Linked DNA regions of Bombyx mori. The main gene of each other region encodes a partner of the protein of the gene in region 3 in a complex. Links are inferred from orthologs where the notes say so. Each region holds a gene or a part of one and is shown on either strand. Other genes may lie near its edges.

Region 1 (6,313 bases), on a different chromosome or scaffold from region 3:
TCCTTTAAACTTAAGACGTCAATATCTGTCCGATAGATTCATTTTTAGAATTGTTCAGTTCCATAATCATCCCCTCATTTCGAAACTAGAGTTTCTTTCTAAAAAAGTACCCTCTTCACATAAACCTTTACCTTGTCTGTTAAAAAGTTTCCTGAAATTCAAACAATTACAAGCCCCAACTCATTCTTTTCAGGTGCTTCCTTTATTTGGCGCTTCTTATGATTCTCTCTTACTTTCTCCAGTGATTTGCTTTTCTCTTGGCATTGAAAAATCTGATTTTAATGCCAATGAAAATTTTAATTGCAATGTCAATAGTAAATGGCCTAACTGGCATCAAATTTATACAGATGCATCTAAACACTCCAGTGGGTGTGTTGGTGTTGGAGTGTATCACAAACAGTACAACATAGTTCAGAAAATTAAATTACCTCCGGAATCATCGGTCTTTACCGGTGAATGTTTTGGACTATTAAAAGCTCTTGAATATGTGCTGTCTTTCAAACTAAAAAAAACCGTTATATTTACTGATTCCTTAAGTGCATTACAGAGCTTAGCAAAATTTTCACTAAAACTTAACCCTTTTTTTCATGTAATATTTGAATGTAAGAGAAAGCTGTTGCACTGCCAATCACACAACTATTTAGTATCATTTTGTTGGGTACCTAGTCACTGTGGCATATCTGGAAATGTGAAAGCTGACAGTTTGGCCAACAGTGCTACTGTGACCGGTGACGTATACCCGTACAAGAATTTTGGCCATGATCTTGCTGCTTTGCCCGGCATATGCCTCCACAAATCGTGGAATATGTGTTGGGAAGAGAGCGGCCGGATTAAGGGTCGTTTCTTGTATGCTATACAGTCTTCCGTTCCCAGGAAGCCATGGTTTGCCAAATTGTCGTTTGGTAAAACCGCCACTTCTACTATAATTCGTATGCGTCTGGGACATAACAGCCTTCCAGTTCATTTGCACAAACTTGGTATCGTAACTAGTACCGCCTGTGAGTGTGGCGAGAGTTATTGTGACCTGAATCATATTTTCTTTTCTTGTTCTTTATATGATCATTCTTCCTTATATACTTCTTTAGTATCTCTCTCTGTTCCCCTTCCTACTAATATTTCTTTACTTCTTCGAGATTTTAATCCCCTTGTATATAGTATTTTAAGTAGGTTTATATTAAATAATAACATTAAACTATAATTTTGATTTATTTTCCCTGTTATATAATTATTCTGATTTTTTTTGTAAATTCAATTCGTTCTAAATCATTTATGTTTTGTTGCGATAAGTTTCCTTCGTTTTTTATTATTTATAAACTGTAAATAAATAAAACGGCGAATTATAAAAACGTTATTACTTGACGCTGGCTAATGCACAAAACGTGCCAGAGCCAAAAATAAAGAAGAAGAAGAAGAACTGCGTTTATACCATAGAGTTACTACTTATTAACTCCATGGTTTATACATATATTAAGTGTATAATCTATGGTTTATACTGTCTAATTATTTCATAAGTGGATCAAAAAAATATTGAAAACTTCAACAATAATTCAACAAAAAAATGTCGGTGAAGAGTGAAGACGGTCAATTAGTCGTTAAAGTACAATTAGCGTGGTTTTCAGTTCAGTTATTTTTAATGATACTATTCATTACCATGCAATAGGAGATAGTTAAGATACTTGTATTTTATAATAAAATTAATAATTCCTAAATTCATACTTAGTTCAAAAAATGTAAATATAATGCACACAAAATCTGTTTTTGTTGAAATGATAATTATTTATAAGTTCAAGAAATATATTGCAGGGACATTTAGTAGAAATTCATTTAATATAGAAGAATAAACTTAGTATATATACTTATACTCTATAAACAGGATTTTTTAAGAATAATTATATCTATTTGATATATATAATAATATTATAATAATGATATTAAGTATAAATGAAGCTGATTAATACGAAACATGGCATGAAATGAAATGAGATGAGATGATATGGAATGAAATATAATTTCAGTAAAATGGTGGTTATTTATTGAGACTTTTTCTGTGGACTTGTTGGAGGATCCCGAGAAGTTATGTTCAGCGGCTATATTTTATTTTCCCACATTTGTGCACTTTTACAGATATTAAACAGTTAATAAACCAGCTCTATTAAACATTTAAACCAGATTTTTTTTAAGGGATGTTATGACCTGTTAACTAAGACCTTTAAGTTATATTTTATTTTAATTTATATTCTTATTTTTATGAAAAATTATAATATGGAGTGAAATGAAATGAAGATGATTAATTTGAGAAATTAATCAACTGGGATGAAATTAAATGGAATGAGATAATATGGGATGAAATATAATCTCAGTAAAATGGTGATCATTTACTGTGGTTTGTTCAGTGGACTTTTTGGAGGAACCCATTTAAACTTGAAGAAACATTAAATAGACAAAATAAAACAAATCACACAACTTCACTCATCGCGTTCCCGCCAAAAAGTTTAGGTATAGTACCTTTAGGCCAAATATTAAGCCTAAGTAGGATGATGATCATAGTCATAGACTAACTTAATGTGTAGTGTAGTATTGCTCGTATATATTAAGTGTATAATCTATGTATATTAAGTGTATAATCTATGTAGTATTGTGTAGTTGTGTTACGTTGTGTAGGACTCGGAAAAAAATATATACACAAATTTATTTATGTGATTTAATTAATTTAAAAATTTTAAGAGCTTACTAAGTACTGTGTAACATTTTAGTAATGATAAAATCTTAAATATCACATATTTATATAAGGATAAAATGAACTGTCTTGTGTAACCTGAAAATATGTTATTATTTTGGTCATAGATTTGTTGAGACGTACACCACTGACCAACTTGTTTAATTTTGAATAATTTAAATACTCCAGCTGCATATATTTCGGGTTCAAAATGATGGCTGGAAAAGGTAAGAAAGAATGAAATAATTTTATTTAACAGTTTGTTATTTCATGATAAATTAATAATCTTTAATTTAATTGCAGTAATGCCAGAAACTGAAGAGCAGAATCGAATAAGATTTCAAGTGGAACTTGAATTTGTGCAGTGCTTAGCAAATCCAAATTACATTCACTGTAAGTTGCCTTTTTGGTTTTTGTTGTTAGACTTCACACTCACCTGGTATACAATGATTACTAGAGTACATAGACATCATAATGTAAATGTTGCCACTTGAACTTATGCAGGCTAATGCTGCTCACTGCATACATACACTTATGGAAACTTATAATGATAACTTAATGTGATGACTGATCTGAAGCTATCAAGTTGGTCATCAAATCATCACAAGAGGGAAATAAGTAATAAATTGTTAGGTATTTTTCATACCGGTTTAATGATTTTGTTATTGTGACTTAGTTTCTAATCGTCTATTTTGTGATTAAATGTTTTTCTGCCCAGTGTTTTTAAATGTTATGTGTAATGGATGTCAATTATGTCAACTCTGTCTATTTACAGTTTTGGCACAGCGAGGTTATCTTAAAGAACAAACTTTTGTAAACTATCTTAAATATTTGCAATATTGGAGAGAGCCAGAATATGCTAGATATTTGAAGTATCCCATGTGTTTGCATTTTTTGGAGTTATTACAACATGAAGCATTTAGAAGAGAATGTGTATCGGCACAAGTGAGTACAAATTGCACCTACTAAATTATTTTCCATATAATCTTTGCTTGAGCGGTAGATAATGCCATAGGTTTTAAGTCCGCTGATAAACATTCTTCTTCTTCTTCTCTGTCGTTTCCTCATTGCTGAGGGTCGTGACCACCTTGGTCCAGTTTTTGAAGTAGTGTTTATATGAAGGTTTGTTGTGGCCTGAAGGCTTATCGCTCAGGCTGACCTGACGCATTCATATCAAGCGATACAAAGGTGTTCAGATCCTGCAGGCAGGTTCCAATTATTATAATGAGATACATACTAAACAAATGTTCACTATTGACTTCCACAGTTAAGGAATAACACCATCTAGTAAAAGAATCAAACTTGCGAAATTATAATTTGTGTAGTTACTGGTTGTAGGATGTCTTGTGAGTCCGCAGGGGTAGGTACCTCTACCCTGCCTATTTCTACAGTGAAGTAGTAATGTGTTTCGGTTTGATGGGTGGGGCAGCCATTGTATTTTTTTTTGTTTAGGCATTTACTTTGTACATGTCTATGGGCTCAGGTAACAACTTAACACTACTTGGCCTTTTTTTTTTCTGATATAGTTTTATGATTTATAGGTTTCACAGTATGATGTTTATGGGCTTAAAACCAAAACAGAGCTTGACTTACAAATCAACAGTAAAAAAAATATGCAAATGAAATTGAGCTAGTTTGAATGTAAGAATATAAATTTGGTAATTGTTAATGACCACGTACAAGTTACTGCAAAAGTCATATTATTATAATTTATTGGCTTTTATTTACCACCTCATTAGTAGCTGTGCTTTATTCTTGTACTCTACCAAATATAAAATTTATGACTGTGCCAAACTGGCCCTTGACCAAATACCGCTTTTAATTTTATCCGATAGCAGTATAATTTGTATGTATTACAATTTTTAAATAAAGCCTGTGTTTAGATCACTCTGATGGATAGGTACTGTTCAAAATATCTTCATTAATGAATGATTAATATTTTCCTTAAGGTTTGCAAATTCATGGACGATCAAGCAATATTGCTATGGCAACATTATACTCGTCGGCGTACACGCACGTTACAACCGCCGGACGCACCGGCGCTTCCTGCGCCGCCCGCACCGCCACAACAAGGTCCACCAAGACAACAAACTTAGGATGTTCATGATTGTTGTTTTAGAAGTGAGTGGAAAATAAAATAAACTTTTTATAAATCTATACTTAATAAATAAATCTACAGTGGTTTTTATGGATGTTCCGTTATAACTACTGAACCATGCATCCGATTGACTTGAACTTGTTATCCATGTAGAAAATACATGTACATAATGGATAGGCTAATTATATGAGTGTTGGACTCCCTACACCAGTTGCGGGGGCGTTAATGATGTGAATCTTTGTGGGGGTGAGAAATAATAATGTTAATTTTAAATGCCCAGTGAAGCGGACGGGTACAGATAGTAGTGTATAATAATGTTAAAAAAATATTGGGCATGTCCTCTAGTAGGATGTCCCACCGGGGGACAAAGATCTCCCTCTAAATTATCTAAATGGGTGTTAATGAAACCTCTTTGTTATGTTATAAAAATAATTTGGCTGATATTAAAATATTTGTTCTGTGTAGTAGTAAAATATACGTAGTCTTACTCATAAAAAATATATTTAATTACTTGAAATGGGCACTGAACGTTTTTCAAAACGAATTTTATTTGATTGAACATAAACAAATCCTTTGTATAATAACCGGCAAACTTCTTGAGCATTTGTTGACGTAGTGGGGGTAAGTTTGCGCATGGTACACTCACGTGCAAAAACATTACTTACTCTGCGTCATAATGCTATTAAATTATTAAAATGAACATATGTATTTATTTATATATTTATTAGAACATTAACAAAACATATAGGTTAATAATTGTAATAATTTAATCTTGGGGTAAAATAGATATTCCTTCTATTAAGTCAAAACTAGAGCTGTTGCCAGGTCTTGGTTCAGTTGAAGCGAAGCTGGTATTTGTAATTTTTTTTCCGTTATCATAATCTTGACCATCATCATCATCACTGTTTTCATCACCCGAGTCGCTATCATCGTGATGAGTCGACATAGGGCTCATCGGCGTAGTTTACAACTCGGTCGATTCGGTCTTCTTTTTTGTCTATAATTAATTATTTTTTGAAGATATTCGATTCGTAGTAATCGAATGTTACTTTTTTCATTTACCAGCTTCCGATTATTTTCTGTTCTTTTTTTCCATCTGAAGCCTAGCTCTTTCATAATTCGTCGTAAGCTTCATTCCGAGCCATTAAAATTTAAATCTTCTTTAAATGTTTCGAAGCCTTTCGACGGTACGGAGTTTCGCTGCTTGTTATGTAGTTATTATGATTACATCTTTTTATTACACATTGAACGAAACTATCCATTCCGGTAACTTTCTTCTTCCCTGATCTTTTCTTACCCGGAGTCCGCAACACGGCGAGCAAGCCAGAGCCTTTAGCTTCGTTAATAATGCACCTAACAGTACTCACTGATGTTTTTGTTGCTTCCGAAGTCTGTTTTAATTTTTCCATATCATTCTTCCCCTGTTTTATAATGAAGCAATATACGTCGTACACAAATTTTCTACCCTTTCTTTTATAAGAAAGGGTAGAAAATTTGTA
Region 2 (6,332 bases), on a different chromosome or scaffold from region 3:
CACTTTAATTTTTTTGTGAAATCAATGTTGTAATAATGAGTATTTATGACTTTATTAATATCTACATTTTGTCTGCAATAAATATAGAAATCATGTTGTGAAAGCATATTGCTTAGTAATTAATGAATTAAATTGGTTGATATCTTGAATCTATTTACCAACCAAGACTGTTAAATGTCCAATGTTTACTTGAGTTGTGTGCTTACGTCCTGGCCTATATGACTCTTTAATATACTTATGTTGTTAAATGTATAAATTAAATACGTACTTATTTAAATAAAATCATATAATATTCTTAACTCATCGCTCTGGTTTTGTCTGCTCACACAATTGATGTCTGAGGGCCAAAAGATAAATAAATTACGGCAACAAATAAAGTGGTAAGATATGACTATCTTGACAGTAAAGAGTTGTATTAGAAGTAATGCTTTCAACATACTGTATGTCAAGCACGAAAATCTATCGAATTCGTATTGTAAATGTATTGAGTGCTCGATACGAAAACGGATCATTGCATTAGTTGGTAGTACTCGATAACCAGCCTTCGAGATTTACGTTACCTTATGTCAAAACAATTTTCATGCTCTCGATTATGAGTATACTTGAGTTTCGAGAATGTAACAATTCGATTGCGAAACTAAAGTAAATAAATTCATTCGTGTTGCTTTATTGCTGACTAGCGCTCCGCTCCGGCTCCGTTCGGGTCTTTAACAAAAATTTCAACGATATATGACGTTGTTTTATTTTTTTAAATAAAAGAACACTTATTGCGGCATAACTATAATAGTTAGACATATCCTGTCGCGACACTTATTATAAATAATAATGTGTTCTACAAGGTGTAGTACATTATTTAATTCTATCATCAATCGTTTTCGCAGGGCACGCGATGTAAAGAATATTTTAGGTAATTTTTTTACACCTTGGGTTACATTATTGGAGTTTTAGTTAGTATTCCTAGATTATAGCCTATGTCACTCCGGAATAGAGTAGCTTCCAAACAGTGAAAGAATTATTCAAATCGGTTCAGTAGTTTCGGAGCCTATTCAATACAAACAAACACACAAATCTTTCCTCTTTATAATATTAGTATAGACTAGCGACCCGCCCTCGCTTCGCTTCGGAAACATTAAAACACACATGAAACCAAAAAAATAAAATCAGGGACAATGTCGGCTTCTAATGGAAAAAGAATTTTTCAAATCGGTCCAGTAGTTTCGGAGCCTATTCGAAACAAACAAACAAATCTTTCCTCTTTATAATATTAGTATAGAAGTATTAAGTATAAAAGTATAGATTAATTCCTTTAACGGACGGTAGTAGGGGCACTGTTTAAATCCTATCTATTTTTTCTCGATAGAGATACGAATACTTTTTCGATAGTCATTCGTGCTTGCCCTTCAGAGTGTAAAGCTTTAATGAGGATTGAAAATTTTATTAATTATAGCTAAATCCAATACTTAGCATGATTGTTTGCACTTGATTCTAAATGAAAAGTTAAGCTTTGTGATGCTCTCTAACAAAACTAATTGTGAATTGTTAAAACTATTTCATTGTGTGATTTTTTAAAAGTTTTAGTAAATAGTCATTACTTGTTGCTATGTTTATAACTATATTTATGCATAAAATTTGATAATAAATTGAGAATAGATCTATAATTTTAAGGTATTTGATAATAATTTTGGTACTATAGTGTGAAGCTTTGAAGTTTTCAAACAATTTATCTAAATTGTTTTAAAACATTTTTAATAACAATCACGAGGTTTTGTGTGTGTGTGTTTTTTTTTCTGTGCACAATTTAAAACCTCTGTCTTTGTAAATGTGGCCGCAAACGGGGGTTGCTAGCTGATAAAGATGGAAACCTAGATCCAAAGTAGAGTGAGAGAGTTAATGCGTAACATCGTTTGTCAGACAAGGATGGCGGTAGACAAACTTACCCTATTTAAAAATTAAAAACTAATGCGCATGCGTCGAGTGCTAGTTTATTCAACCAACTGCGCTCACTTTCTTACTTTACAAACGATAATTTAGTTAGGTACTCAAAAAAAAGTGGGAATTTTTATTTGCTATATTATTATGCTAATGAATTATATTCATATTGCTGTTATTAGTAAAGTTTTGTACTTAATTTATAAAAAAATTAGATGCTATGTTGGGTATGTACATACAGTACTCAAAAATCTAATTTAGCAATTTTCATTGTTGACTTCTAAGCAATTTAAATTCGATAACGGCGGATTTCTATCATAAAAATGTGATACCGCAAATGCTTAGTTATTTTTAAAGAGTGCAGGTTAGGCTGAAAGCTATCTAGTCTTTTATTGTTAATTCGTACGAGAATAGCGCGAAAGCGGTGATGGAAGTTTTTTTTCCTACCTATTCGGTAGCCTACACACACTGCGACGCAACTTCTTGATGAATTTTAGTTGTTACAAAAATGACGCGAGGATTTGATATTTACTTATTGCGCGACAGGAGGTGTTTGTTGATTGTAAAAAAAATGGCTTACACGAAACGAAAAGAAAAACGGAAAACTTTTACAAATTAGTAAAGTTCTGCCAATTTTACTATAGCACAGCTGCCTTAGATTGAATTAGACTAATAGTTGTAGTAGTCATTAAACAATAACATGTTTGAACACACAACCTCGTTATATCCGTAATGTGAATCCAGCTTATTGTTAATGTTGTTTCATTGAATAACTAAAATTTAAAAATAATCGTTTAAGGTCTGAAATGAAAGAGGTTCATTAATGGTTTTTTATTATACTTAAATACTCAATAATTGTGATGTTTTTCTAGTCGGTAATATTATGGTTACCTATTGTGTACACTGCTTACATTAAATAAAGGAAATTTTGAAATTCATTTCATTGCCTATAATTAAAGTTTTTTAATTTTTTTTATATGTAGATGGGTGGAAGAGCTCATAGTCCACCTGGTGTTAAGTGATACCGGAGCCCATAGATATCTATAACGTAAATACCGTCACCCACCTTGAGATATGAGTTCTAAGGTATACTTACAACGGCTGCCCCACCCTTCAAACCGAAACGTCAAGTGGTCCTGTTATTAGCAACATTACTATTTAGCTTATAATGTATATAACGGAGAAATGGTTTTCTAAATTTTAATACTGATGAGAATGATTGCAGTTCTAAATGTATTTTTTTATTGCCCTTGTAGGCAGACGAGCATACGGCCCACCTGATGGTAAGTGGTTACCATCGCCCATGGACTTCAGCAATGCCAGGGACAGCCAAGTCGCTGCCTACCGTTAAGTACTTTCCGCAAGCCTCGTTTGAAGAAGAATACGTCATAGCGCTCGGAAAACACCGTGGAGCGGAGCTCATTCCAAAGCCGTATGGTACGTGGCAAAAAAGATCTCTGGCTTAAAATGGCGTTACTATTCCAAATTAGGTACTGTTTTGCTGCACGCCAAAGTTAAACGATCGTAATATAATTGTTTCCTTACAGAACTTCAAGTTATTTGGATTTTAGATTAATGTCTCAAATGAATCAACTTTATTTCATTTCGCTCCATATGATCATTTTTCATGAAAGAGAATAGAATGTACATACAAAAGACTAGGATGTATGGTGTGTGATATCTTCGCCTTTCCACCTGGAAATATTGGAAATATTACTTAAAAACGTCATAACGTTCAACTTCAAATAACTTCATTCAAAAGGTAGTTTTACAAATTGATACTGTAGGTAGCTTAAAACCACCTTCCATAGAAAATATCCATATAAGGATTAAATTTTAACAGTGGTTAGTAGGATAAATATCTGAATTGAATAATGGCTGATCGCTTAACTCAGCTTCAAGATACCATAAACCAAGTACGTATGACAAAAATGAACATTTCGTTTTAATTGACATTAATACATTTCACATACGTTGTATTTATTTATTTGTAGCAAGCTGAGAATTTTTGTAACAGCATCGGAATTCTACAGCAGTTCTCGTTGCCTAGCAAGTTCCCAGGCTTCGAACGCGGTGGTTCTCAGACTCCTCAACAACCGCAGAGTCAAGAGGATTATGCGGTTTTATTCGCGGCTCTAATTTCTCGTTGTGCTAAGGACATTGACACGCTCATCGAGTCTTTGCCCAGTGAAGAGAGTTCAACTGAGCTGCAAGTGCAAAGCCTTCGGCGACTTGAGGCCGAGAACAAGGAGGCTGCTGAGCAACTTGAAGAGGTAAGGGCTGTCAACTCTCCGTGCCCAATACACGTGCAATTTATCTCAAAGGACACTAGCTTTCTTTTTTATCATAAATTGGGAATTATCATGTAACTAAACCATTAAAATAATGATTTTAAAGAAGTAATTATGCCATGCAGTTTGCTTTTGTATTGCCATTTGAATGTAAAATCAAATATTCCAAGAAAGTATTTGTATTACAGACATTGTATTTTGTCTATAGTCAACTTTTGTAATGTAAACAAGCACCAATATTTAAACATAAATTAGTACCTACTTAAGATAAAATTGACAGTAATAGCGATTTGGTTAAAGTTGTTTCCTTAACTTCATTTTGAGATGGCACACTGGAATTGTATCAGCGAATATTACTTTATTCAATTTTCAAAACCCATAGGGTGTTTACAGATTAATCTCATGTTTTAGATTGCCATGACTACAAAAACTTATAGTATTTGAAATATTGGAAGTAATCATATCGACGCTTGAAAGGCAAACGTGACTAAGCGACAATGCGTGAACTTCACAGTAGACTAATTTCAAGATGAAATACCTGAAAAAATTCTATTTTAACGAAACTAGCTGTAGGATTGAAATGATTTTAATAGACCTAGAAATATATTTTTTTTGGCATTGAATATGGTTATTGCCTATCATGTATAAAGCAGTTATTGTCGCTTAGTCACGTTTGCCTTTCAAGCGTCGATATGAAAATAATTACACATGACTTACTCTCTTTTCATTAGCGTTAATAATAATGTCAGACAATATTTAATAATTCTACAGGTAGTCCGTCAAGGAGAGATTCTTCTAGAGAAGATTCAGGGTGCTCTGAGTGATATTGCTCAGTGCCAGTTGGACATGCAGAATCCGGCTCTGATCCTCAACAAGGATGTGAAACCACAGTTATAGGGATGGGGTCTGGGGTTCTACCAACGGTAGTTTCCTCTACAAAAGGATACGTTAAAACAAGAATACACGGAAGTATTTTAGTATTATATGAATTTTAAAATTTTGTGTTTGAAATCTTAATGCTTAATGACGAAGATTTTTTTTTGTTGTTTGCAAATTTGTTACAGGGCTTTCATGCCGGTGAAAACTAAATTGTCTGAATGTCATATTTTTGAAACTATAATAAGAAAAACATTGGTATGACATATATCATTTTAAGTAATCATTTGTTATAATTGAATAGTTAAGTATACATGACTTGTTTATTCATTATTTTCTATTATTACGTAAGGCATACTTTAAGTCTGAAAGGGTAGGTACCGCCACTCTGCCTATACATACTGTAAAGCCGTTGTTTTCCAGTTTTGAAGCACAGGTTAGTTGTTGATGATGATTTTGAGATGAGTGGCGGCAATGACTGGGATCTCTGGGCTATGTTAATCTCTTAATATTAGATGAACTCGTTCATCTATATACATAAAATAAAATGAACACAAGGAAAAAGTAAAGGTGATTGTATTCAATGATGAACATGAGTTTTAATTAAATTAAAAAATATTTATGTTTTATGTTTAATTAATTTAATTAAGTTATTATGTTTAATTAAAGGTTTAATTTTTCTTTTTGTTGTACGCCCTGTATATGCTGGAATGGACTCGAATCTAAATATTAATATACTTTAGAGATTGGAAATAGAAAACTATAATCTTGAAATGAAAAAAAATCTATATGATTGAAAATAAATGTTGATAGCTAAGAGTGTTTTATTAAATCAAATGTTTTATTTGTATAAATTTCAATACTGATTCAATGGTAAAGAATAGTTTAATTTAGTAGAAGTAGTGTTCCTTCAGGTTTATATATGTATTAATGGTAGCTTATTTACATTTTAGCATCTCTGAAAGTGCACATGTGTGGGAAATTAGAACAAAGTTCCTATATGTGGCTTAACGGCTTCCTCCAAAAAGCGTCAGTAAATTCCCATCCTGTTACTGGGACGTTATTTCATTTTATCTCATCTCGTTTTACTTCTTTCCAATTAATTTCATATTAATACATTAAAATTTCAAATAAATGATCTTCATTTCATTCTACTACTATCATTGTAGCTTTTAGATAACTAATGGAACAAGCAAGTTTATCGAGTAAGTTGTACATTCGATTTATAAAATTCTT
Region 3 (6,266 bases):
TGTGTTTGAACAATTTAACAGTACGAAAATGGCAGGGTGGTAGGAGGGGTTGTTGGGGTGGAAGGAGATATATTCTGTTGTTATAATTAGATCTCCCATCATCCTTTTGGGTGATGTTGTGGAGTGGGAAAACACCTCTATCCCAGGCACTAGTCACTTCTCTTTTAAATAACTCCCATTTCGTTTTTGTGTTTTATTTATTTTACTATTCAGATTATTATTATTTTTCCTCCAATAACATCTATTACCATTATGTTAGAAGAGGGTAATAGATTTCAGTACTAATTACTGTCCCTTCACAAATTACATCAATTTAATTCCCAAATTAAGTAATACTGTTATGCTTTAGAAAGAAATAGAATAGATTCTTAACATTTTGTCTGAGTTTTAGTGTCATTATATACAGAAATGGAATGAAAACAAAATTAACATATATTCATAAACATTATTTTACAAAAATTATAATACCTAAGTTTATGTTAAAAACTATTTTATTTAATAAAATTGCAAATGCTTATTTTTCTACTCTATTTTGGACAAATAAATAAAAACAATACAAGTTAACCAACTAATTGTAAAGGTCCACCACTAAAAAACAAAATAAAAAGCAGTAATTCAACACAACAAAAAATTTGCTACGCAATCAATCACTACGTTAATGAGTGTTGCTATGGAAACCAATCCCTTAAACTGGGTTCCCAGAATGCGTTGTTATTGACAACAGCCAGGGACCATGCATCTATCGATAGCTTTATTTATGTTTGCAATCAGAGGGTGGAAAATCAATACCGCGATTACCTGGGGATGGGGTAGCGTTTGTGCAATTACTAAAGGACCTAAGTACCTGGTATGTACAAGGTACATTTAATAACATAAAATATCAGTTACTTACGATTGCCGCAGCAGCTTTCAGCAATAGTTACAATCACATCATTACTCACAATGTTTCCAAACATATTCGTTAAAACATCAATTGCGTTTACTATATTTTCATCACTGTTCCCTTGGTCCTCCATTGTGACTTCTAAAGTGTAACAACTCACACTGGACTGGACATTAAATAATATAAAATGAAATTATTTACCTTGATAAATATGAACACGTTTATTTAATAACAAAGACTAGTAAACAAATTTGTTTAAGCATAAAGATGAAATCCATAAACCTGCTGACCATTGTCCGACTATTGCGAAGTGAATTTATTTTGACACCACACCACAGATAAATTTAGACATATTGACACTGGCAACTGTCAATTAACAGTATTGTAGTAGTAGTAGTAGTTATATTTTTCCAACTATGAAGGCAAAAGTATCATACCATACACCTTAATCGGTTATAATTTTTTTATGAAAAATGATAATATGAAGTGAAATGAAATGAAGATGATTAATTTGTAACATTAATCAATTGGCACGAAATTAAATGAAATAAGATGAGATGATATGGGATCCACTGAAAAAATCTCAGTAAATGACCACCATTTTTCTGAGATTATATTATTTCATGCTATATCATCTCATTTCATTTCATCCCGGTTGATTAATGTTACAAATCAATCGTCTTCATTTCATTTCATTTCACTCCATATTATCATTTTTCATAAAAATAAGAATATAAATTAAAATAAGACATGACTTAAAGGTCTTAGTTACCCGGACATAAATTACCATAAATAATTTGGCGGGAACGCGAGGAGTGAAGTTGTGTGATTTGTTTTTTTTGTCTATTTAGTGTTTCTTCAGGTTTAAATGTGTATTAACAGTGGCTTATTAATTGTTTAATATCTGTGAAAGCGCACAAATGTGGGAAAATGAAACAAAGCCGCTGAACGTAACTTCTCGGGATCCTCCAAAAAGTCCACTTCAAAAGTCTTAGTGAATGACCACCAGTTTACTGAGATTTGAAATATAATCCCATATCATTTCATCTCGTTTCATTTCACTTCGTTTTCATTGTATTTCATTTCGTTTTCATCTCATTTCATTTCTATAATTTTTCATATTAAACAAAAGTTTTCATTAAATTAAAATAAGACTTGACTTATAAGTCTTAGTTACCAGGTCGTAAAATCCCTTAAAAATATGCATATGGCTACTTTAATGATCACAGATGAAACTTAAACTTTTTGGCGGGAACGCGAGGAGTGAAGTTGTGTGATTTGTTTTATTTTGTCTATTTAGTGTTTCTTCAAGTTTAAATGTGTAATAACGGTGGTTTATTAACTGTTTAATATCTGTGAAAGTGCACAAATGTGGGAAAATGAAACAAAGCCGCTGGACGCAACTTCTCGGGATCCTCCAAAAAGTTCACTGAAAAAATCTTAGTAAATGACCACCATTTTACTAAGATTATATTCATCCTATATCATCTCATTTCATTTAATTTCATCCCAGTTGATTAATCATTTTCATTTCATTTCCCTCCATATTATCATTTTTCATAAAAATAAGAATATAAATTAAAATAAGACATGACTTAAAGGTCTTAGTTACCAGGTCATAAAATCACTTAAAAAAAAGCAGATGAAACCATAGATTATACACTTAATTTATTTGAGAATGAAACTTAATTTAATTATTTAAGCTAGTTTTAGTGTTTTAATTTAAAGATTTAGGCTAGTATAGATATAATTTGCACTCATGAACTAGATATAACGGCTTTTTCACTAATTCACGGAGAATAATGTTATAACGTAGTGATTACTTGCTCAGTGAATAACGTCTTGTATATAACTTGTGAGGGAAGGTATTCAAAATGATTTAAAGTGTAATAAAATATAAATCCTAATTAGTCAGGGATCCAAACTGCATTTCCCGACCGTAACAATGGGAGACAACTTTCAAAATAAGACCATGGCGGCTGTGATGATGGACTACGATTTCAAAATCAAGACTCAAAATGAACGTTCCAAAGTGGAAGACTTGTTCGACTATGAGGGCTGTAAAGTAGGTAGAGGTACATATGGCCATGTATATAAAGCCAGAAGGAAGGATGGCTCCGATACCAAAGATTATGCTTTGAAACAAATTGAAGGAACTGGACTTTCTATGTCAGCATGTAGGGAAATTGCTGTAAGTATAAATACAACATAATTATTTCATTTAAGTAATTTGTTTTTAATTTTAAATAAAAATTTTAAATTTTAAATAATTTATATCTGTATAAATGTGAATTTATTACCATAATAATATGTTCTATGGGGAGTGCTATGAGGAACTGTTTGAAATGATTCCATCATCTCGTTTTTACCATCGCACCGCCGACCACCGAAATAGAGTTTGTCCACACTACCTTGAGCCACTCAGTTCATCCACAGTGTGTTTCCATACATATTTTTGCCATGTACCATACGGCTTTGAAATGAGCTCCCCTTCATGGTGTTTCCGAAGCGCTATGACATGCCCTTCTTCAAACGAGGGCTGTGGAGAGTACTTAACAGTAGGCAGGGGCTTGGCTAAGCCCCTGGCTGAAGTCCATGGATGACGGTAACCACTCACCATCACCATGTAAAAAATTTGCATATTTTGATTCTTGTTTCTATTATTATTTCAAATAATATGTTCATGGGATATTACACCTATTTTGATTGTGTTGTGTTGTATAATTATTGTGTACTGTAAACAAACATTGCATTATCAGCTGTTTTTCTACTTCATATTCGGTCTACAATATAGTAGTGTGGTTTAGATCATAATAAAAAAGTTCGTGTAACAATTTATTTTCTAGCTATTAAGAGAGTTGAAACATCCTAATGTCATAAATCTTATTAGAGTGTTTCTTTCACATACTGACCGAAAAGTCTGGCTGCTATTTGACTATGCAGAACATGATTTGTGGCATATAATCAAATTTCATAGAGCAGCTAAAGCTAATAAAAAATCAGTTATGGTGCCAAAAGGAATGGTGAAGAGCCTCCTCTATCAGATATTGGATGGGATACATTATTTACATTCAAACTGGGTTTTGCATCGAGATCTGGTGAGTGTGATGTATATAGTAATATTTATAATGATGAATCGTTCACATACTATGAGTTCATGTTGTATTGAAATTGTAATTTATACTAAATTAGATAACATAATATATAAAAGTATAATAAATATTATATTAAATAAATTACTATAATTGATAGAAATTCTACTGTTGGCCTGGAAGAGATTAGAAAGACTAGGACGGCAGTCTTACTAATCTCTTTTTGTGTTGAATGATGTGCATTTGTTGTTTTTTTATTTATTTATTACTAGCTGACCCGGCAGACTTTGTAGTGCCTCAATCGATAAATAAAAGACCCAAACTTTTGCATAAAATAAACTTAAAACAAACAGAAGGAATCCGTCCGACGGGGGACATATCAAAGGAAAAACAAAATTGTTATTTTTATTTAATTCCGAACATTTTCATATTTATCTACCTTTTAAACCTCTGGACTTCCACAAATAATTCAAGACCAAAATTAAGCCGTTCTCGAGTTTTAGCGAGACTAATGAACAGCAATTATTTTTATATATATAGATTATTTTGGTGTACCATAAATCAAACTTAATGAATCGATAAATATTATTTTTGTTCAATATCAATATATGTTATTTACAATTAATACTCCAGAAACCAGCCAACATATTAGTAATGGGTGAAGGACCGGAGCGTGGCCGAGTTAAAATAGCTGACATGGGATTTGCAAGATTATTCAATGCACCTTTGAAACCACTTGCTGACTTAGATCCAGTAGTAGTCACATTTTGGTACAGAGCTCCTGAACTGTTGCTTGGTGCCAGACATTACACTAAGGCCATAGGTATATATTTTATTACTCTTACAATAATTCACCTACAGCCACATAAAATTAAGTACTTACCTTTTACTTACTTAAGTAATTTTTACTTAATTGACGTCTACACTTGGCAGGTAAAACACCTTCTCTTCAGCATGGAATTAACAACTTGGTAGCACTTTATTAAATTCATCATTATTTAAATAAATCCCAAAAAGCTTAGAAAATAAAAACTATTATACTATTTTCATTTTTGGATTGTTACTTAACATAGCTAAAATTCATCTGAAATTTCAGTAAACCCGGTCGGTAATTGTGCATTCTGTGAACTACATACCATATCAGTAGTTCATTGTAAACATAAAATATAATGTAATCGAAGAAGAATATAGAAAGATTCCCACCCCATGACACTTGTTCAAAAATATCAGGATATGGGACTGCAGTAGGCCAAGGCGGCACTCAATTATTTTGAGCTCATGAAGTATAGACTCATTGGTGCAAAATATTATATGTGTATTGTAATGTTAAAATGTTGTTCTTTCACGTCAATACAAACCAATGGATTGACATGATTTTTTTTAAAGTGAAAGTATTCATACTGATACTTTTCCTGGACGAAATGTGTAGAGCCACGGTTTAAAACCAAGTCAAAAGAGATGTAAAAAAAAAAGTAATTTAAGAAAATCTCATTTATTTGCAGATATTTGGGCCATAGGATGTATATTCGCAGAACTATTAACATCTGAACCTATTTTCCATTGTCGCCAAGAAGACATTAAAACAAGCAATCCATATCATCATGATCAACTAGATAGAATATTTAATGTTATGGGATTTCCACTTGAAAAAGATTGGGAAGATATAAGGAAAATGCCAGAACATGCAACACTAGTTAAGGATTTCAAGAGATCAAAGTAAATTGAAAAACAAATATTTTGAGGATGCATTGGTCTAAAATGAAATTAAATTTAATATGTTCATATTCATTACAGCTACCAGAACTGCTCACTCAGCAAATATATGGACAGGCATAAGATTAAGCCAGATAGTAAAGCTTTTAGTTTATTACAAAGACTTTTACTGATGGATCCTAACAAAAGAATCACTTCAGAACAGGCTATGCAGGATCCATACTTTGCTGAAGACCCACTGCCTACTCAAGTATGATATTATAATGTTTTTGAATTCTTAATGATCTGAATGGATAGATGAGCAACCTGAAGTCAGGAATATTAGACCCTATAAATGCACAATTTTAATCCCACCCACCTTGTAACAAGTTAAATTTCCAACTGTACTATAAATGCTATCCCATCTTGATTATAGTAGGTATCTACTGGTAAGGGCTCACAAAATTGCCCTCTATGGTAAAAACCAACCATTAAATATTTTGATTTCATTATGTAATGATGACATTCATTTATTTGGTAAATATTTGTGAACCTGTGCAAGAAACGAAATATGTATTAATAATATTGTACAGGAACTA
Region 4 (6,239 bases), on a different chromosome or scaffold from region 3:
TTAATTTTTTTTTAGTATTAGCAAGGAGTAGAAAGTTCAACATTTTGTGATATTAATTATTATTAGAGGACTGTATGAATGATTCTATTTTAAGGTATGAAGGGCTATTTGGTTTAGAGGAAAGTCATGTAATTTAAAAATTGAAAAAAAAACATGACAAAACTTCTCCAGCTATTTCAATGGAGAATACTTAATTGGTGTTCAATTAAAAACAATTAATTGTATAAACTAATACCAAATAAAATTTACCTTTAATTACACAGATAGATGCCATGTAGTAAGCGAAGTGTCACTTAAAACAAATAGCCTTACGCCCCTTGATTTTATTTATTTAAACATATAGGTAGTGAATTAAAGCAGATTTAAGTGTTTGTGTAGACTTGTAATCAATTTGCTAATGAAGCATGTTTAATCTACTCAGAAGGATAAATATCATCTTCACTTTGGAGGATTTCAAAATTTAATGTTGCTACATATTTGAATATTTTTAATTTCCTTATAACATTCTTGTTGAACTTTAGAATAGTCATTTTTTATTGGCTTCATAAAATCTGATTACCTTGCCATATTTCAAACTTCTTGTATGCAATGAGAGCGAACCATCAGAAAATACATTCTGTACTTCAGCGCTTATCAAATCACCTTCCTGTAAATGTTTTCTCATCATCTGCTCATCCTCTTCTGAACGCCTTCTCTGGATTTAAAAAAATATATAAATAGTTATCATTAGATACAAGAAGATTGCTTTATATTATGGAAGTGTGCGTTAATTTACCAATTCTCCGCCAGGTAGATTTACTGAAGAAAGTTGAAGTATTGAATCAAGTCGTGAATTGGTATCAACTTTCCATCTTTTCTGTTGAACTTCCAATACTCTTCCGACTACCACATCGCCTATTTCTCCAACGTAACGACTCTTCAATGGGCGAATGCATATAAGTTTATTTACTTTTTGCATAACCCCAGCAACAGATGCTTTTAGGCAATCATCTTCTGCGTAAGTTCCGTGGCCTCTTAAAGTGCAAAATTATTAAATTTATAGTAATAATAATTCTTAACAATATTGTTTTCGCAAAAAATACCGACCTCATAAAATCTTGTATCCCAGTTATGACTTCGCCAGGAGTGTAAAAACGCGGCGGGTCATTATTTGAGGCAACCGAATGATTTACTCTTTCAGATGCGAGTTTTATAGATACATGACTGACCATTTCTAATGTTTTTTTAAGCTCCCTCTTTGCTAATTGTGAATTGTGTACAACGAACTCATAGACCTATAGTCGGATTTTTTATTAGACGAAGTCAACTGACGTTTACTGTGTTGTCAGGTTTTGATGAAATAAAAATAGTGTTGTGACAAAGTGAACGATTGAAAAAACTCCTGAATTAATGAAATTGCCTCGATTGTCTAGTGAATAGTTAGTGTGCCGAATTGCCGATATCGGGTACGGGGTTCGAATTTTAGGCGTGCTTTGTACAACCAATGAGTTTTCGACGAAATATTATGTTCCTATAGTATCTACCTGCACTGAATACCGAGTGTTTTAAACATTAAGAAAAACATTGCGAGGAAGCTTGTAAGACTGTCCTATTTCCAATACATCATATAGTTGAAATTATAGATGTATAAAATATAACAATTATAGGTATGTAATGAAAATAAAAAAAAGTAATTGTAGTTACATACTACTAGTAACATATATTGGAGCACTTTAATACAATTTTATTGTAAAATATAAATAATATTCTTTTATAGTTTGAAATTAATGATTAACTCTTCACACTCATTGTTCATTCATGTGATTGAACGAGAACTGAACAGATGATAAGGGATGAAATACAATCTCACTAAAATGACGGTTATTTACTGAGATTTTGGCCTTTTTGGACGATCCCGAGAAGTTACGTCCAGCGGCTTGGTTTCATTTTCCCACATTGGTGCACTTTCATAGATATTGAACAGTTAATAAACAACCGTTATTACAGGTTTAAACCTGAAGACACACTAAATAGACAAAATAAAACAAATCACACAATTTCACTCCTCGCATGTAGAATCATTGGTGACAAAAAATGTTTAAAAACAAATACGGCCGTACCAATATGATAATATGATGCGATACCATTGCCTCTCTCTCCTGTATTTGAAAAAGGAAATTACAAAATGTCACCTAAATGAGGCTAAATGTCAACATTGTTAGTAACTGTCAAGCTAACAGCGATTGCAAACATATCTCTACCTTGTTAAATTCCAATATGAGTATTTAGATTATGTTAATTAGAAATTAGAATTTATTTTCTCCTTTAAAATTGCCTAGTTTTTTATTTTACGCAATATTTATAGTTTCGGTTATATGGACTATTTAGACTGAATGCACCTCTATGAGACAGAAAAGTCGTTTATAAGTGTAATGATTTCTTGGCTCACACATAGTTCTTCAAAACTTAAATCTTTAAATAGCTGCTATTGAAGTAGGTTTTCAGATTTTCAGCTCCATAAAATGTCGGCAAACGCTGCACCTATAACAGCTACAGATAGCTTATCGCAAGCTTTAAAAGCGAACATTATACCAAATCAGGAATACTTACTTCAGGTACTACAGGATGTTGAAGTGGCTCAGCTATTTTAAATTTCAGAATAATTACAATATAGTCTACATTCTTCTACAGTTTCCATAAATTGCATACTTAACAGAACTAATTACCATAGTTGCAGCTATTGTATCCAATTCTTTTGACCCATTTGATCTGTTTACATACTACATTCAAAATATTATCAGAACCCATACATACATAGCTTACATATAATAGCAGCCCAAAAAAACATGAGATAAGGTCTTAGTTACAATGCCTACAATGCTGTTCTTAATAAATAAAAATAATTCATTTAATGATTTTCAATTTTACAGTATTTCATAGCTGGAAATTATGATAATTAGGCAACAGGCAGCAACTTTTCTCAAGATTCAGTCAAGTTTGTTAATTGTTGAATATTATACATTTAATTTTTGATTCCACTAAAATTTGATTAAGGGCTCAGTGTTGGACTCGGCAGTAGAAGTTTTACTTCACCGATTACGTGGTCTTTGTGACAATGTTGATGCTGGGCCAGAAACATTTGATGACCAGGAAGTGTGTTTCAGTCTACGGGATCCTAATCATCATCAGGTAATAATAATACTTAGAACTTTTTAAAATATTTCTGTTAATGTTATTATTATTTTAGGACACTAGAATATAAAATGGTTATAAAATTATAATACAATAAAACTTGTATTAAATTATAAATTGATTAAATTTTGCCTGGGCTGTCACCTGTTTGGTCAAGAAAAGTGCTAATGATTTGGTAATCACTATTAATACTGTACAATTCGTGAGCATAAAGACATGCCTGAATCTATATATTTTTCTTTCATGTTCTAATAGTTCATCTTTAATAAATTTAAATTTCAGGCTCCCCCTCTCATGTTGCGTGTTCGTAAAGCATTAGATGCTCGAGACATGCCATTTCAGTTACGATACATTGGGCAGCCTGATTTGGGGGACAAAAATAGGCCAACAGTTGTCCGTTCCAGTCTTGATATAGCCTGCAGTGGAATGCTCATTGAATTTTTAAATGAGCTAGGATGCCGAATTGAATTTGAATACAGTGTAAAAGGTAATAATATTTATTATAATGACAATTATGAGTAATATGATTGTACATGTATTTGATAGTATATTCTAAATCATCACTATTACTATACCACTATTGTTAATAATGACGAATCAAAGAAGACCAATAGTCAAAAATACTAATTCAATTTAAAGTATTACCTAGATTTGGGATTTAATTAAATTGCATATAATTTTCAGTGGTTCATTTAAAATCAATCAATTACGGTAATTTTATAAAAAACATTAAGCTTTTTCTAATTCTAAATTTCAGGTTACATGTTTAGAAAAGGTCGTATGAAAATTACTGTAGCAAAAGTGTTTAAGATTTCTCAAAATTCAATGCCACCTGAACCTATCTCACAGAGCTATCTTGTGGAGCTTTCTGTAAGTTTTTGACACCCAATTAAATAATTTGTCAAATTTCCCAAACAATACCGCTTTCTGGTTTTGCTTGAGTATGATGATTATATATGATCTTTAAGTACCGTAGATTGGGGAAAATGGGGACCCTTTCCAATTCCAAAACAAATTTTCAATGCTTTTATTCTTAGGGTAATACCAATAAAATTGAGATTAAAATGGCTCCGAAGGTTTAAATTTTTAAATACGATTCATTATTTTATATAGTTCATATAGTCACAAAATATACACAAAACCTTAAAAAACTTGCTTGACCCGATTCTCTTTGAATGAGGCTATTTCTCTCATTGACTTGTCCTTCTTCAAACGAGGCTTGTGGAGAGTATACAACGGTAGGCAGCGGCTTGGCTCTGCCCCTGGCATTGCTGAAGTCCATGGGCGACGATAACCACTCAGCATCAGGTGGGCCGTATGCTCGTCTGCCTACAAGGGCAATAAAAAAAATACGCTATGTATGGGGACAACAGAGTTTTTCGATAAGGCTGGCACTATTTAGTTCTTAGGTAGGTACCTAACTTTAGGTAATTAATTTTTTATATCTTTAATGAGATACAAAGTTTTGATATCTGAATTAAACTATATAATATTCTTAAACACTAAATAATAGTCATCTTCAGTGCAACAAAGTTATATCTAACAACCCAACAAGAGTATTGTGACATCCCAGATTTGTCCCTATTCTAACTCTAGTCTCTATTCTCCCCAATCTACTGTAAATAAACTAAAAATAAGGAAGAGATTTTTAATTTGCTGGCTTGGTTTTGATGTAAACAGCTTGGTTTTTTCAAGCTATAAAAACATAAGTAACCTAACCTACAGGTTTCCATGAATAAGTAAGGCTCAATAATAAGCTTCAATTGTTTTTTTTTCTTCTTATTTGTACGTATTAAGTAGATTTTATATAATTAATGTATGTAGTTGATGTTTGTAGAGCAATGTGGATTTATTTTATTTCATGTATGTTATGTGATGTGTAGTGTATTTCAGTTGTTGAAGACTTTTACCCTTCTTTAATATCTTTGGTTCCCTTAGGTTTGTTAGAACAAAAGACTAATTAATACATTAAACTCACCATTGGACATTCTTTTACAAGTCTTATTTTAGTATCATTTTCTGTGTACCTATAATATATAAGAATAAGATGATAGACTAACTTTTATTTGCTGATAGTGAGTCCTGAGTCCTATAAGGATTGTGCGCCCAAAATGTTATATAAACTCTGCTACTTAAACAATTTTGGGGATGCTTAAACGACAAAGGGAAGATCTTCCACCGAGCGGATGATATTGCTCGGTAGACCGACGGTCCGAATGTTGTTATTCGGAACTTGTACATATGCGCTTTATCTTGAAAATGTCGTAAGCGAGATTCAGGCATCTGTCAATTATCTTGCGTTGTATGATGGCTACCCGCCACATCACTCCCCTCCGAGACTGGAGGTCGTGTCATTTTTAGATATCGTTGTCCGTGCTGAGATTAGCTTGCAAGTGCCAGTGCTGCTCGAAGTTTGCGGTGAGTCGAAACTGAGCTTGAATGCTGCGTGATTGTCGCCAGTGCTGCTCGAAGTCTGCGGTGAGTCGAGACTGAGCTTGAATGCTGCGCGATGAGGCAGTGTAGGTGCGTGCCGTAGGGCCAAGAAGCGCGGTTAGTCGGCTGCGATGGTCCTGTTGAGGCTGCGATGCTGGCTTGCTGTGGGACGACTGTCGATGACTTGCTTTTATCTGCGAGAATGCGGGGATTGTGGTAGCCGAAGTTCTTGATGCGCCGATGATGAATCAGAAGGTTGCGTGTTCACATCACGTCGGAGGTCACCAGTTTGGGAAGCTTATAACGACGGAGGGAAGATCTTCCACCGAGCGGGTGATATTTGCTCGGTAGACCGACGGTCCGAATGTTGTTATTCGGAACTTGTACATATGCGCTTTATCTTGAAAATGTCGTAAGCGAGATTCAGGCATCTGTCAATTATCTTGCGTTGTATGACCCGCCACACAATCACGAATTACATTACACCTACTATTATTCCCAAAGACAGTTGACATATAATGTTTTACTGTGCTGAGCCTATTTAGTAGTATAAAGGAAAAGGGTGTAGTGAACTGCTGATAGTTTCATTTTCTTATTCAGGTTCTTGCACCACAAGGCCAGGACGCTATCGGCGA
Region 5 (6,113 bases), on a different chromosome or scaffold from region 3:
CAATACTTTTAATATAATAATTGTTAGTACAATTGCCTCACATAAATCTAAATCCTAAGTATTGGAGTTGTTTATTGAGTAATGGATTTTAGCAGTCAGCCATAATTCACATAAATACTATCTCATATTATCAACTACATTGCACATAATTCTATCTAATTCAAAGCAGGGATCAGCCTTTTGAATATTGCAAGTATTATTTTCCATTTGGTCCAACAATTCATTTGGCACTTTGAAATTTGATTCCAATTCATTTTGATCTGGTAAGCTTTGGAGAGCATTCTGTAAAATATCCTGTACCTTGTCTAAGTGTTTCTTGAATCTGAAAGAACAGACTTTATTAGCTCTTATAACTGGATTAGGTTCCATGGATACCAGCATCTTGTCTATTTTTTGCTTCAGAGAATTCACACATTAAACCAAAGTCAAGCAACAATGGTCCGAATGGAAATTTAACTTGTAAGGTAACAGCTGTCCATCCACAAAAACACGACGATAAACAACAAATAATTTTCGAGTTCAATCTTGTGTTATAATATACTAGGCTGCACTAAAAGTATCGGGAATGGAATATTTCTACTGTTCCTGTCATATTAAAATCTTTTTAATTGAAAACTCCTTGGTTTTAAAAATCGAATACCATTTATTTATTTTAAAAAAGATTCTCGGTCTTGTCACGAGGTTTTGTCAAACTTGTTTAGTCGTTGAGAAAATGGAATTGACTCGAGAAAATTCAAGAGCGATGATTTATTATGACTTTCGAAGTGGTTTAACACAAAAACAGTGTGTTGACCGGATGATTTCTGTATTTGGTGATGAAGCCCCATCCAAAACCACAATTTATCGCTGGTTTGCTGAGTTTCAACGTGGACGTGTCAAGCTCAGTGATGATTCCCTTCAAGGTCGTCCAAAAACTGCAGTCACCCAAGAAAACGTTGATGCTGTGCGTAAGCTGATTGAGGAAGATCGACATGTGACATACCGCGAAATTCAGGCAACTTTAGACATTGGCATGAGTCAAATACAAATAATCTTGCATGAACAATTAGGTGTAAAAAAGTTGTTTTCCCGATGGATACCGCATTCGCTCTGTGAAGAGCAAAAAGCGGCTCGCGTTACTTGGTGCGTCAGAACTCTCGAAAGATTCCACGCAGGATCCTCAAATGCTGTATACAACATTGTATCAGGTGACGAATCCTGGATATACGCGTACGAACCCGAAACAAAAAACCAGTCACGAGTTTGGGTGTTCGAAAATGAGTTAAAGCCAACAAAAATTGTTCGTTCACGGAGTGTTGCAAAAAAAATGGTGGCCACGTTTGTCTCCAAAACCGGCCATGTTACGACTATTCCTCTTGAGGGACAAAGAACGGTTAATGCAGAATGGTATGCTAGCATTTGTTTGCCACAGGTCGTTTCTGAACTCCGTAAAGAGAACTGCAACCGCCGCATCATCCTCCATCACGACAATGCGAGTTCTCACACCGCGCACAGAACAAAAGAGTTTTTAGAGCAAGAAAACATAGAATTATTAGACCATCCGCCGTACAGCCCCGACCTAAGCCCTAATGATTTCTATACTTTCCCTAAAATAAAGAATAAATTGCGTGGACAGAGATTTTCATCACCTGAAGAAGCTGTAGACGCCTACAAAACGGCCATTTTGGAGACCCCAACTTCCGAATGGAATGGTTGCTTCAATGATTGGTTCCATCGTATGGAAAAATGTGTCAAATTTCGCGGAGAATACTTCGATAAGCAATAAATACATTTTTAAATAGTAACTTCGTCACTTCGTTAATTCCCGAAATTTTCAGTGCCGCCCTCGTAGTATCAGTAAACAATATCTGCTAATTTCTTTTTTTTTATATTAAAATATTTTTGTATATTACTCAAAACAGTTCAAATTTGGAAATCTCTAAAAAGTGCAGAGGGCAGATTTTGGTTTGAAAAAGATGATATGACATTATGAATACTAAAATTTTTTTATTGAGACAAGTTTAAGGTTTTTTACTGGTGGTGGTAGGACCTCTTGTGAGTCCGCACGGGTGGGTACCACCACCCCGCCTATTTCTGCCGTGAAGCAGTAATGCGTTTCGGTCTGAAGGGTGGGGAAGCCGTTGTGACTATACTGAGACACCTTAGAACTATAACTCAGGGTGTGTGGCGCATTTGCTTTGTAGATGTCTATGGGCTCCAGTAACCACTTAACACCAGGTGGGCTGTGAGCTCATCCACCCACCTAAGCAATAAAAATAAAAAAAAATTAAACTCATTACAAATCTGATTTTCATTATTCTGCTTCAATATCAAACATTGGGAGAACTTAATATGACTTTGTGTTTAACAGCCTATGGTAAGATTAAACACAATAAATTTATTCAGGTTCTACTAATTATAAATAAATTAACATAACATTGATGGGCAAAATGTCTGGGAATCTCAATCATGAAGGTACTGTGGTAACAGATAAAAATGTCTAATCACTAGTGGCACCTAATGTTTCCAACCAGTGAAAATCCAACCAGTGAAATTTAAATCAGACTTTCACATTACCACCCAATTAAAGATCATATTATAATGTTAAAGCCTAAAATAATAAAGGATAAGTCACACACTTAATGGTTATATCATGTGTGTGGCAAAAACATAACTTAAATATTTATGTTGGCATCTTTTTTATTTTGTCATTTGTGATCTGAGATCTATCTTTATTTTCTAGAATGGTTCCTTGGTGTCCAGTATAGATATAGTAGAAACACCAACATATGACAAATTAACGCTATTAATAGTACCTTGCTGCAGTTTCAACCCTCTGTCTTTTCTGCAATTCCATCATTACTCTCAATGTTTCTCTTGCTTGGTGTGGCCTAAATTCATTTAGAAGATGATGTATATGAATAAATAACAAACTTAGGTCTTCTACTTTTTCTGCTCTCTTTGGAGAATCTGGACAATGAACAAGCAAATCCAACAAATCCAGAAAATTTGCCAGCAGTGAATGGTTAAGTTTCTTCAATTCTCTTCTTCGTTCAAAATGCATAGGATACAATCTTCGAAATCCCTGAAGGAATTTTTTACAACGAATTATTTACATAAACATTTGTGTTTGTAAACTAGTTGTTTTAGGACTTACCTGGCTTTCTAACGAACGTATAATAGCATCATCAGCGTTAAAAGAATTACCAAACATTGAATAAGAATCATGAATAGGTCGAGGTGGTAGAGGAGCTCTATTTCTTCTAACATTTTCATCCGTGTAAAAATTTATATATTGCATTGGAGGCAGAGGTAAAGAGCTAACTTGAGCTGTCTCTGACATTGTGAACCGGGAATCCGTACGTACGATTCTAGCAAACACTTAATAAAAACGGAATATGCCTATATTTACAAAAAAAGATTTACATACTCTTAAATATTGTGTTAAATTGAAGAAATTTATTTTAAAACAACTTTACACACTACAGTATGAAATGTATGAATTATTATGAGCTTTGTCTATGCTTTCTAAAAAATAAGTGTTTAATCTATGCTTTAGTATGCTTTTTTTGTTTGATTGGCCTTATGGATAAGCAAAGGGAACATAGCTCATATATTCCAATTTTTGCCACCAAGGTCGAAGGTGTTGTGAAAGTTAAATGAACTTCAATTTAGAGGTGAGTTTATGACAACACCGTAAGTGTGGACAAAATGAAGTGAAGTAATTTTTCGCTAAAATTCTGAGAATGTACTGAGTGTTCAATGAACCTTTAGAAAAAAAAAATCCCGAACTGATTTTTGTCGAAAGATTTTTGATGTTTTATAACCAAAAAGAAATTTCATGTAAACAATTTGGCTTTTATAAATAAAATAAAAAAGATGTTTTATGGGCTTTGTTCCTTTAGCTTTCGCAAGTCGTGGAGACAATTAACTATTAAGGATGTTACAGGAAAGATTGGCAACAAACTTAGGGGTGGGGTGTGTCTATAAAATCATTTAAAATGGTTTCATAAAATGTATCACACAAGAAAATCAATGAGTAACTAAGATCTGTTAAGTGTATTATAACTTTGCAAGATTCTGGTGTCTGGATTGAGCTGGATCAATTGGATTATAGCAGTAGGCTCTCATACAGAGGACAATATTTTAGGTGTGTGGCGCATTTACGTTATAGATGTCTATGGGCTCCAGTAACCACTTAACACCAGGTGGGCTGTGAGCTCGTCCACACATCTCAGCAATAAAAAATAAAAAAAATTAAAAGGCACATCGCGATTGCGATTAAGTGGATACACGAAACTGCAGTTTGACAGTGTGGCGGGTAGCCATCATACAACGCAAGATGATTGACGGATGCCTGAATCTCGCTTACGACATTTTCAAGATCAGCTTGCTTATATACAAGTTCCGAACAACAACATTCGGACCGTCGGTCTACAGAGCAATTATCACCCGCTCGGTGGAAGATCTTCCCTTTATCGTATATCTACAGTAATAGTTGGCCCTACTGCAAAGCATGCTTTCTGTGGCGGATGCCTAAGTTTCGAGCTCTGCCTTATCTTGAAAATGTCGTAAGCGAGATTCAGGCATCCGTCAATCATCTTGCGTTGTATGATGGCTACCCGCCACAGACAGCATGTTTTGCAGTAGCGCCAACTATTAAGACTTGAAAAAATTCAATTATTCGCTAAAGACAATAAAAGTAGTTTTATTTACATTTCATACGTAATTGTATAACCCAAATAAAAAATGAAAAATGAAATAAAATATCTAATTTAGCAGACCTTTGGCAGGAATTCGGGATGTAAGTTTTATGAATTATTTTATTTGATCTGTATATTTTATATAATTTATAAAAAAATTCTTCAGTTTTAATCCAAGTTAAATTTCTTTTCATAATTAGTTCCATTTAATTTTTCATTAAATAAACATGGTGTGAGATAGGTATGTTTAGATACCAAATAATAATAATAATAATAAGAGTATTTTAGATCGCATAACCGTATGGAGGAGCAAGGAGTTACACGGTAGGTTCTACCGGGCTCTCACAGGGCCTGATGTAGACCAATTAGCTTCCGTGGCCTGGTTACGATTCAGTAACCTCTTTGGGGAAACTGAAGGTTTTATCTTTGCAATTATGGACGAAGTTATCATGACGAACAACTACCGGAAATATATTATATTAAAGGATGGGACGGTCGACATTTGTCGGGCATGCCACCGTCCGGGAGAGTCTATTAGACATATTGTTTCTGGATGTTCTCGGTTTGCTAACGGCGAGTACTTGCATAGACATAACCAAGTGGCTAGGATTATCCATCAACAACTTGCTCTGAAATATGGTTTTCTTGATTCTGCTGTACCTTATTACCAATACCAACCTCAACCAGTTCTTGATAATGGTCATGTTACGCTCTACTGGGACCGATCTATTATCACGGATAGGTATATTGTTGCCAATAAACCTGATATTGTGATAATAGATCGATCTGCACGTCGAGCAGTGTTGGTTGATGTCACCATTCCTCATGACGAGAACCTCGTGAAGGCAGAAAAGGACAAATTAATAAAAAATTTAGACCTGGCCCACGAGACTACCGCCATATGGCATGTTGATTCAACCATCATTGTTCCAATAGTTGTATCGGTACACGGCTTGATAGCGAAAAGTTTCGATCAACATCTTAAAAAACTTTCGTTATCCAGCTGGGTTAAGGGCCAAATACAGAAAGCAGTTATCCTCGATACTGCACGCATTGTGAGGAGGCTTCTCACTCTGGAGTCCTAACCACTGGTGGCTTGTGTCGTAGACACCGCCATCAGCGGCAATCTATTTTTATATAGTGTTTTTAAAAAATTGTATTATTAATATCTTTTTTAAAAAATATTATGTAATTAATAAGATTTTAAATAAATATTAATAAACAATAATAATAATACGAGCCGATTCTTTGGCCTTAGATAATACCGTTAATTGTTTTTGGCTTTAAAACAGAAGACTTGGGGGCTGTATGGGCTACGTTCCTCTCTATCGAATATTTAAATTTAAAATAAAAAACTAAATTATCCTACAGTGTATAATATGTTCCTTTTTTTAGCTATAACTAGCATACCTAGATATAACATATCTAAAC

What was found.
Region 1: cdk8 (region 3) and mediator of RNA polymerase II transcription subunit 31 share a complex: the UniProt entries of both Caenorhabditis elegans proteins name them as parts of the mediator complex. The link is inferred for Bombyx mori from reciprocal best matches to the Caenorhabditis elegans genes cdk-8 and mdt-31.
Region 2: cdk8 (region 3) and mediator of RNA polymerase II transcription subunit 21 share a complex: the UniProt entries of both Caenorhabditis elegans proteins name them as parts of the mediator complex. The link is inferred for Bombyx mori from reciprocal best matches to the Caenorhabditis elegans genes cdk-8 and mdt-21.
Region 4: cdk8 (region 3) and mediator of RNA polymerase II transcription subunit 18 share a complex: the UniProt entries of both Caenorhabditis elegans proteins name them as parts of the mediator complex. The link is inferred for Bombyx mori from reciprocal best matches to the Caenorhabditis elegans genes cdk-8 and mdt-18.
Region 5: cdk8 (region 3) and mediator of RNA polymerase II transcription subunit 7 share a complex: the UniProt entries of both Caenorhabditis elegans proteins name them as parts of the mediator complex. The link is inferred for Bombyx mori from reciprocal best matches to the Caenorhabditis elegans genes cdk-8 and let-49.

What each region holds. Positions count from the first base shown.
Region 1 is NC_085122.1:5,745,596-5,751,908, reverse strand, and holds the start of mediator of RNA polymerase II transcription subunit 31, read left to right. Parts: upstream 1-2,616; 5' UTR 2,617-2,927; coding exon 2,928-2,943; intron 2,944-3,019; coding exon 3,020-3,109; intron 3,110-3,491; coding exon 3,492-3,661; intron 3,662-4,665; coding exon 4,666-4,812; 3' UTR 4,813-4,837; exon of another isoform or gene 4,838-6,313. UniProt on the Caenorhabditis elegans protein: Component of the Mediator complex, a coactivator involved in the regulated transcription of nearly all RNA polymerase II-dependent genes.
Region 2 is NC_085122.1:11,557,104-11,563,435, reverse strand, and holds mediator of RNA polymerase II transcription subunit 21, read left to right. Parts: upstream 1-2,914; 5' UTR 2,915-3,803; coding exon 3,804-3,845; intron 3,846-3,923; coding exon 3,924-4,202; intron 4,203-4,991; coding exon 4,992-5,117; 3' UTR 5,118-5,913; downstream 5,914-6,332. UniProt on the Caenorhabditis elegans protein: Component of the Mediator complex, a coactivator involved in the regulated transcription of nearly all RNA polymerase II-dependent genes.
Region 3 is NC_085129.1:10,511,736-10,518,001, forward strand, and holds the start of cdk8 (cyclin dependent kinase 8), read left to right. Parts: upstream 1-2,590; 5' UTR 2,591-2,828; coding exon 2,829-3,074; intron 3,075-3,729; coding exon 3,730-3,981; intron 3,982-4,608; coding exon 4,609-4,798; intron 4,799-5,477; coding exon 5,478-5,691; intron 5,692-5,769; coding exon 5,770-5,938; intron 5,939-6,266. Other genes in the region: uncharacterized protein LOC101736423, read right to left, coding at 893-1,016. UniProt on the Caenorhabditis elegans protein: Component of the Mediator complex, a coactivator involved in regulated gene transcription of nearly all RNA polymerase II-dependent genes.
Region 4 is NC_085121.1:5,595,466-5,601,704, reverse strand, and holds the start of mediator of RNA polymerase II transcription subunit 18, read left to right. Parts: upstream 1-2,182; 5' UTR 2,183-2,501; coding exon 2,502-2,594; intron 2,595-3,033; coding exon 3,034-3,168; intron 3,169-3,453; coding exon 3,454-3,658; intron 3,659-3,928; coding exon 3,929-4,041; intron 4,042-6,204; coding exon 6,205-6,239. Other genes in the region: exosome complex component RRP4, read right to left, coding at 560-694, 776-1,013, 1,087-1,211. UniProt on the Caenorhabditis elegans protein: Component of the Mediator complex, a coactivator involved in the regulated transcription of nearly all RNA polymerase II-dependent genes.
Region 5 is NC_085119.1:10,079,688-10,085,800, reverse strand, and holds the start of mediator of RNA polymerase II transcription subunit 7, read right to left. Parts: upstream 3,523-6,113; 5' UTR 3,323-3,522; coding exon 3,137-3,322; intron 3,065-3,136; coding exon 2,796-3,064; intron 323-2,795; coding exon 118-322; 3' UTR 1-117. UniProt on the Caenorhabditis elegans protein: Component of the Mediator complex, a coactivator involved in the regulated transcription of nearly all RNA polymerase II-dependent genes.